Linked DNA regions of Daphnia pulex. The protein of the gene in region 2 purifies or fractionates together with the protein of the main gene of each other region. This does not show direct contact. Links are inferred from orthologs where the notes say so. Each region holds a gene or a part of one and is shown on either strand. Other genes may lie near its edges.

The links. Proteins that work in one complex are often made in the same cells at the same time.
Region 1: the proteins of DNA topoisomerase I, mitochondrial-like (region 2) and FACT complex subunit spt16-like fractionate together in Homo sapiens (co-fractionation; 3 studies listed by BioGRID and IntAct, with this or other methods). This does not show direct contact. The link is inferred for Daphnia pulex from reciprocal best matches to the Homo sapiens genes TOP1 and SUPT16H.

The regions. Positions count from the first base shown.
Region 1 is NC_060017.1:5,830,731-5,834,663, forward strand, and holds the start of FACT complex subunit spt16-like, read left to right. Parts: upstream 1-1,133; 5' UTR 1,134-1,391; coding exon 1,392-1,460; intron 1,461-1,526; coding exon 1,527-1,787; intron 1,788-1,858; coding exon 1,859-2,007; intron 2,008-2,072; coding exon 2,073-2,226; intron 2,227-2,284; coding exon 2,285-2,433; intron 2,434-2,493; coding exon 2,494-2,608; intron 2,609-2,665; coding exon 2,666-2,965; intron 2,966-3,042; coding exon 3,043-3,078; intron 3,079-3,140; coding exon 3,141-3,317; intron 3,318-3,381; coding exon 3,382-3,474; intron 3,475-3,538; coding exon 3,539-3,641; intron 3,642-3,729; coding exon 3,730-3,928; intron 3,929-3,933. Other genes in the region: adenosine 5'-monophosphoramidase HINT3-like, read right to left, coding at 1-11, 73-139, 192-309, 519-599. UniProt on the Homo sapiens protein: Component of the FACT complex, a general chromatin factor that acts to reorganize nucleosomes. The FACT complex is involved in multiple processes that require DNA as a template such as mRNA elongation, DNA replication and DNA repair.
Region 2 is NC_060019.1:12,290,875-12,294,842, reverse strand, and holds the start of DNA topoisomerase I, mitochondrial-like, read right to left. Parts: upstream 2,801-3,968; 5' UTR 2,622-2,800; coding exon 2,583-2,621; intron 2,010-2,582; coding exon 1,938-2,009; intron 1,867-1,937; coding exon 1,759-1,866; intron 1,695-1,758; coding exon 1,488-1,694; intron 1,420-1,487; coding exon 1,124-1,419; intron 783-1,123; coding exon 466-782; intron 397-465; coding exon 253-396; intron 197-252; coding exon 1-196. UniProt on the Homo sapiens protein: Releases the supercoiling and torsional tension of DNA introduced during the DNA replication and transcription by transiently cleaving and rejoining one strand of the DNA duplex.

The DNA.
Region 1 (3,933 bases), on a different chromosome or scaffold from region 2:
GAAATCCCATTCTACAATTTAGTTGAAATCATTACTACCAATTTTTTATGAGGGTAAGAATCCATATGATACCTGCAATCACTCAAGTCTCCTCCATGATTCTTCACAAGTTGCTGTCCTACAGCTACCATTTCTTCAACTAATAAAAAAATATTGATAAGTTTATTTGAATTGATAATCAGGCAATTTACCCATGCTGACTGTTTCTATGGTAAGACTTTTAATATCATTGATGTGATCTCTAGGAATGACTAGAAGGTGGTTTTTAGCAGATGGTTTGATGTCATTAAAAGCCAAATATTTTACATCCTATTTATGAAAGGAAATACAGCATTAGGAAATGTATATCTTTATCTTATTAAGTACCTTATTTTAATATATCTAAGCCATTTCTTACTGTGATTTTCAGGTAATAGCTAGTCTACATTAGATTAATTGATTCCCTGGAAGAAAATAAACCTATTTGCTACAAAACGCATAATTTAATTGGTCAAAAATGAGAGAGGAAGAGCCTTAACCTGATGAACGATAGTTGCTGGCGCCAGACCTTCACAAATCTGGCAAAAAATGCATTTGATGGACTTTTGTACTGAAACCATTTTTAGGGAATTGTACTGTTTGTTTGTTTGTTTGTTTTTTTTTGAAGATAGGTGCACTGGCCGATTGTACTGTTTAGTTCAGTCATACGTAAAAATATTGACACTGACTGAGGGAATGGACTTTTCGCGTAGTCTGCAATTCTGTAAGGATGCCAAATTCCGAAAAGCAACAAGTTGTTTGTCATGATTTCGAATTCGAAGTATTCACTTAGATTCATGCAGTAGGACATAAATATCCTGTAGCATAAAAATCTTAAAAAAAATAAAAAAATATGCATATTTCCAGAGCTATAGAATCCCTGGTCGGTTCTCGGCTGTGTTGGCTTCCCTATCCCGGTTTCAGGGTAAACGTGGTCCGATTTGGAAACTGGAATGAGCGCTCTAGTGAGTGTGTCAGCTACTACGCTCAGCTACTTTTGAGAGCCTAGATGGCTCTGTTTCTAGTTTCCAATGACAGGCCCCGCCCTAAAACCCCCTGAAAATCGGACCACGTTTACCCTAAAATCGAGATGGGGAAGCCAACACGGCCGAGAACCGACCAGGTATCTATTGCTCTGATATTTCTGAAAAATCAATGGATAATATTATTATTAAAATCATAGTTGGCAACGCCCAGGTCTTTATGAACTTCATTCTGCTTTTTAGAGGGAAAAGCATGGGTTGCGTTGGGTAAACGGTCTGGCAGTTTTTTGTAACGAACCTCAGTACAATTTCGCCATTCCAGATTCGTAGTTTCAAGTTGAAATATTGCAGTTTCCCATTCGACTTGGATGATCCCATTTGTTACTGAAAATGGGAAGTCTCGCTGCAGATAGAGAGGTGTTCTTTCGAAGGATAAAGCGATTCTATTCGTCTTGGAAGGTAAGTTGGCGTCAAACAACCATGACAGTTGGATTTCATTTCATGCAATGATATAATATCTTATAGAATGAAGACTCTGAACTTGGGTTTGCTGATATGGATGCATTGGTCACAGCTTTGGGGGCGGATGAGGAAGTTGTGTACAGCAAAACATCTGCTTTACAATCATGGCTTCTTGGATATGAATTGACTGATACAGTTATGGCTCTGTGTGAAGATTCCATCTATTTCCTTGCAAGTAAGAAGAAGATAGATTTCTTACGCCCGCTGGAGGCAATTAAAGAAGAGAAAGGCTTGCCCGCTGTTAAGCTGTTGATTCGTGACAAAGTAAATCATGATACATATTTTCCATGTTAGAAACATGGAACTTCAACAAAGAAATTTTTCTATTTTTTTAGAGCGACAAAGATAAAGCCAATTTTGTGAAACTTATTGAAGCATTGAAAAAATCTAAAAAAGGAAAAAAGCTTGGAGTGTTCTCAAAAGACAGTTTTCATGGAGAGTTCATGGATGCATGGAACAATGCCATCAAGAAAGAAAAATTTGAGTAAGAAACATTAGAAAGTGTTATTAGAAATATATAGATAACAATGTGTGAAATCATATTTTCAGGACAGTTGATGTTAGTTCTGGGGCAGCTTATATGATGGCTCCTAAAGAAGAATCTGAACTGAATGTGATCAAGAAAGCATGTCAAGTATCTGTTGATTTATTCAACAAATATTTAAAAGAACAGGTTATGGAAATTGTAGATGCAGATAAAAAGGTTTGAAAAATTTATTATTTTTTTTTCAATGGGACTTAATTTGAATTTATTTGTCAAGGTCAAACATTCAAAATTAGCCGAAGGAGTGGAGAACGCAGCCACTGACAAGAAATATGTTTCTGGTGTCGATACGGGTCAAGTTGATATGTGTTATCCAGCCATAATTCAAAGTGGAGGGAATTACAGCCTGAAATTTAGTGCAGTGAGGTACATCTATCAATTAGCAAACTTTATGTGAATACATTAATGCTTCTTTTTATTTCACAGTGATGATAAACCCCTTCATTTTGGAGCAATTGTTTGTCTTTTAGGAGCACGTTACAAATCTTACTGCTCCAATATTGGTCGAACCCTTCTTGTCAACCCCACTGAAAAGATGCAGGTAAAGAAAAAGATATTTCCATAAATGAGTCTAGATTACATTCTTATGAACTTGTAGGAGACATACAACTTCTTGTTATCGGTTGAAGACGAAATTTTGAAATCTCTCGTCGAAGGAGCAAAGTTTAGCGATGTTTATAATGCTGCTGAGGCATACGTAAAGAAAGAAAAACCAGCCCTTCTTGACAAGATGACAAAAACCCTTGGCTTTGTTACCGGAATTGAATTTCGAGAAAGCTCTTTGGTGATCGGCCCGAAGAATAACGCAGTTGTCAAAAAAGGAATGGTCTTCAATGTCAATCTTGGATTTGCTGACTTGGAAAATTCTGATGGCACCGATGATCGCTATAAGAAATATGTATTTATATAAATTAATAATATTTATTTATTTATTTGTTTATTTAAATATATATTATTTTATTTTTAAAATATTAGGCTTTGTTTTTGAGCGACACTGTTATTGTATCCGATGTAAGTTATAATTTTGAACTTTTTCTTCTACTTGTTTTTTTGACGAGTAACATTATTTTTAGGGTCCAGCTACTATACTTACTGCTTCGAAAAAAAGGATTAAGAATATCGGTATATTCCTTAAAGATGAATCTGGAGAGGAAGAAGAGGAGGAGGAAGAGGACGAAGAAAAGCCATCACGACAGCCCCAGAATTTAGGTCGAGGCAAGCGGACCGCTATTCTTGATTCTAAACTTCGGGTACATAGTACTTTTCTTCTTATCATTTTCCATTGTTATAATTTATAATTTGTGTTTCTTTCAGGAAACATCTACCGAAGAAAAACGTAAGCAACATCAAAAAGAATTGGCTTCTCATCTAAATGAAGAAGCCAAACTTCGGCTTGCTCAGCAGAAGGTAAAGAAGACAAAAAGAAAATAAATGTGCAAAAGAATAACATTAAAATCTGATTTGGTTTTAGGGACGCTTGGAAGGCGATAAGATCCGGAAATCTACCGTGTCATACAAATCCGGGAAAGATTTGCCAAAAGAAGATGAAGTGAAGGAATTGAAGTTATATGTTGGTAAGCCCATAATTTCTCAAATATTTTTGAATGTGTGCTCTCAAATATGTGCTACAAAGAATGAATAATTCCACATTTAATATTGTAGATCGAAAGTACGAAACGGTCATCATGCCCATTTACGGAATTCCAGTTCCTTTTCACATTTCGACTATAAAGAACATCAGTCAAAGTGTCGAAGGAGACTATACTTACTTGCGTATAAACTTTTTCCACCCGGGTGCAACCATGGGTAGAGCTGAAACAGCTGCGTTTCCAAACCCTGAAGCCACATTCCTCAAAGAAATGTATT
Region 2 (3,968 bases):
TTCACTTGCCCTTGGACGTTTTCTGTCCACGAAGCTAGCCAGGTGACGGTATTGTCACTACGAACTTCTTTCCATTTATGGCCAGGAGGAGGTTTAGGTGCAGTTCCTTTAGTACAGTTAATGATGACATCTTCTGGCATTACCCTCCGCTTTACCATCCCCATTTTAGGATGATCACCACGACCACGAAAGAGACCTTCAAACAATAGAATTAGCATTTTAAAAAGAGAAAAACTTTAAATAATAAATTACCCGGCGGTTCAATTTTGAAATTGCCAATACGTTGTTTGTGTCCATCAATAATACACCATCCATATTCCTTAACCATTTCTTCATTTTCTGTTTTCAGCTGAAGTTTTTCTTCTTTGGTCCTGTTCTTTCTCTCTTCAGATTTAGCTAAAGAAGGAAACATGGGATTAACAACCATCAAAATTAATTAGAAACTAGCAGAAAATTTTGACAAACCTTTAAAATAGGTAAGCATGTAGGTGAAATCACACTTTTTGAGATCAGTAATAATCTCTTTCTCAGAATGAGTCATAAATTTACGCCAATCTTTGAAAAAATTCTTATTAAATACATCTTTAGTCACATAGTCATGATCCAGCATAGCAGCATAGAATGATCCAACTTCTTCAGCAGCTGTACTCAATTTCATTTCTTGACCATTATACTTAAACTTGACATTTCCTGGCAGGGGTTCATATTGTGTAGCAAACACTGGACCCTTATGCTCTAAGGATTTCCATTTAACTCCATCTTCATGCTTCTCTTCTTCCCACCTAAAGAACAAAAACAAACGTTATTTTAGAACACAGGTTACTTTAGAAGGTTGCAAAGAAAAATAACATGGGATAACGAATTATTTGTAAGAGTTAAAATACCACGGTAAATATCTTATATCCAAGGATACATAACGTAAAACTAAATTTGACGTAAAATGATTTTTAACTAAAACATATGATGAAACAAATGCATTTCTCGAAAGTGTTGCACTAATAAAAAAACGGCATCTTAAAACACAAGCCGCCATGCTTACGATTAACTATCGATCACAAAATATCGATATGGACCCGTTTTGACATTTTTTGTTTGAAATCGTTACTTTAAACAATAGACATACCATTTCCACGTTTCTTCCTCTTCTTTTTCTTTTTTGGCTCGTTTGGTGGGCGAACCATTTGGAGTGGCTGGTTTCTTGTTTGGCTTTTCTTTCTTGTCCTTCTTTTCCTCTTTTACTTTTTTAGCTTTCTTCTTAGAAGCTGAAAAATCATCATCATCCAAATCTTCGGCCTTTCTCTTCACCGGTTTTTCAGCTTTAACTTCAGCTTTAACCTCAGGTTTAACCTTTTGGCGAAAAGCTAAGGGTTGATCATCATCCTCAGAATCCTGTGAAGTCTGGCTGAATGAGCGAGAAGCCTTAAGCAGAAAAAAAATCAAATAATTTTAAAACTAGTCAAAACATGGAAAGGTTTATCAACACTTACCAATGGTACATCATCATCTTCAGACAAAGGTTCATTTTTAACTTCAACATATTGGGATTTTTCAGCTTTGTCTTTGGATTTGTCCTTCCCTTTCTTCTTTTCTTCTTTTTCCACCTTTCTATCCTCTTTACTATGCTTCCGGTCCTTGCTGCGTTCTTCTTTGTCATGCTTTCTATCTTTGTCCTTAGATTTGTCTTTATGCTTATCCTTAAAAATAATATCACAACAAATTAATTGAATATTTAATTAAATAGTTTAGAACTTTTACTACCTTATCCCTATGCTTATCCTTGTGCTTGTCCTTGTGTTTATCACGGCTTTTGTCTTTAGATTTCTCACGATCTTTATCTTTATGTTTGTGCTTGTGAGAATGATGGTCCTAAACAATAAGATATCAGTTAGTTCAACCATATTAAACTTACTCATGTTCAAAAAGTATTTTGCTTGTACCTTATCCTTGGATTTATGGCGATCCATGCCATTTGACAACCCAGTCAACATATCTTTTCCAGCACCATCACCCTATCAAATCATTAAATAATAAAATTAGCCAATGAATTGGAAGTCATTGATTTCCATGACAGTAATTTTTTTATGAAACACAAGCTCATGAATGATATTATTTGTAAGTCGCTACCGAAATGTACTGTAAACAAGAGCGTTCGGTTACGACGAATTTGTCATCATTCTAACTAAAAGGTAGGAAAATATCTGTTGAGCTACATCTTTTGGACTCTGAAAATCTGACGCCATGTCAGCGCGTTTTCGGGTTAGAAATTCAACTTTTTAAATTTAATTCCACGTCAAATGTTCAACAGATTTTCACGAAAATTGAAAGAGGAATTGAACTCGAACATGCGATCTTGAAACCAAAAGTTATTTGTTAGCCGCCCTCAAAATAAGGCTTGTCAACCGTTCCAAAGAAAGAGGTTTTTGACGAAGGGACTTAGCCGCTGACGGCCATTTTGAACTTAGAAAAATTTCGGCCGACTCCGAGGGAAATCCATAGATTCTCCATTCCAGTATTTGCCCGACGTCTTACCGACACACTTTAAAATTGCACGATTTGATTGCTAAGAATGAATATAAACTTACTGATGGAGGGGTATGCTTATCAACTTCTGCTGAGCCCATTTCGTTGACAAATAAAGGACGACTTTTGTGGACCGGAGCGTTTTTTCACAAAAAGATAGAGTCCAAACTTCCAAAGCCAACTACACCAACATGGCCAGGTCTTTCATCCGGACGTTCAGCAACGGACCCAAGGACTTTTCTCACAGGTCATATCTTCAGCGCTCCTAGCGTAGAAGTGAGCAAACTAACAATTTCTCATTCTCGTCCATGAACCTCAACAGCAATGCCAACTATCAGTAAAAATTAACCTAACGAAAATGCAAAAATCTAAAGTTCCTGACGAAGTCTGTCGAGTCTGTCACGTTATTTATTATTACTATTTGTATTCGAAACGTTTGCGATTATGCAAATTTGTATTGCAACAGAATAATTTAATCATCAAATGTTCATAATTATTTTTTAAGACTTATCTACCCGTAAGCCTAAAGGGAAAAAGCTATTGTAAACGGAAAATAATTTTTTTCGTCACATTTATTTAATAATATTATCATTTATTAATATATAAAAATTACTTTTTTCTTGTTAAGTGTACCAAAGTCGATAGCGACCTTACAGTCTTATGGAGACACCAGATGCTTAAAACATTTTTAGTGGACGATTGAGTTGAAGGTGATTTTTATACATGAGTTGAATGGCCGTATTTTAGTGAACAAGCAGTGTAACAGTACCAACGTGCGGCACAGGTACACATCAAAGTCTTTATGCCGTCACCAAAGAACAAGTTAGAATGCCACAACAGCATCTGCAGCATTTTTCAAATATTAAATTTTATTTGAATTCGTTCTGCAATTTTATTTGTGCTAGGAAACGGAGCGAAAATTTGGTATCAGAATGGATGGAACATTTGAAAAAATCACTTAGTGCAAATTTACATAAGACAATAAGCCATTGAAGGCGAATTGATGTTTACTTGTGTTTACTTCTCAGTCGCATTATTATTTAATGTTACTTCAACGGAAGTAGAAAGAAATATACTACTTATCCATTTTAGGTCATATCCGTAATATTACCAATCAGCAATAACTAAGGATAAAACTGTTTAAAGTCGAGTGACTTATTTTGGGTTTTGCTGAGTTAATTCGATGTTTTCTTTTGTGTTAATCTTGGGTAAATTTACTTCAAAAATCTCCAATCCAATTTTGTGTAGACTTTGAACACTTTAGTTCTATTTCGTTTACTCGAGCGTTTTACGGTTGACCAGAGTAAATGCTACATGCACTCCAAAGCTTCTTAACCTAGCTTAATCGGTACAATCTTAAAACTCAAATCATTCTTTGAAAACATGTTTATGCCAAGTAAACACGATGGATGTTTTCTCATCGTCTAAGGCAGTAAGGCGAGCCCGTC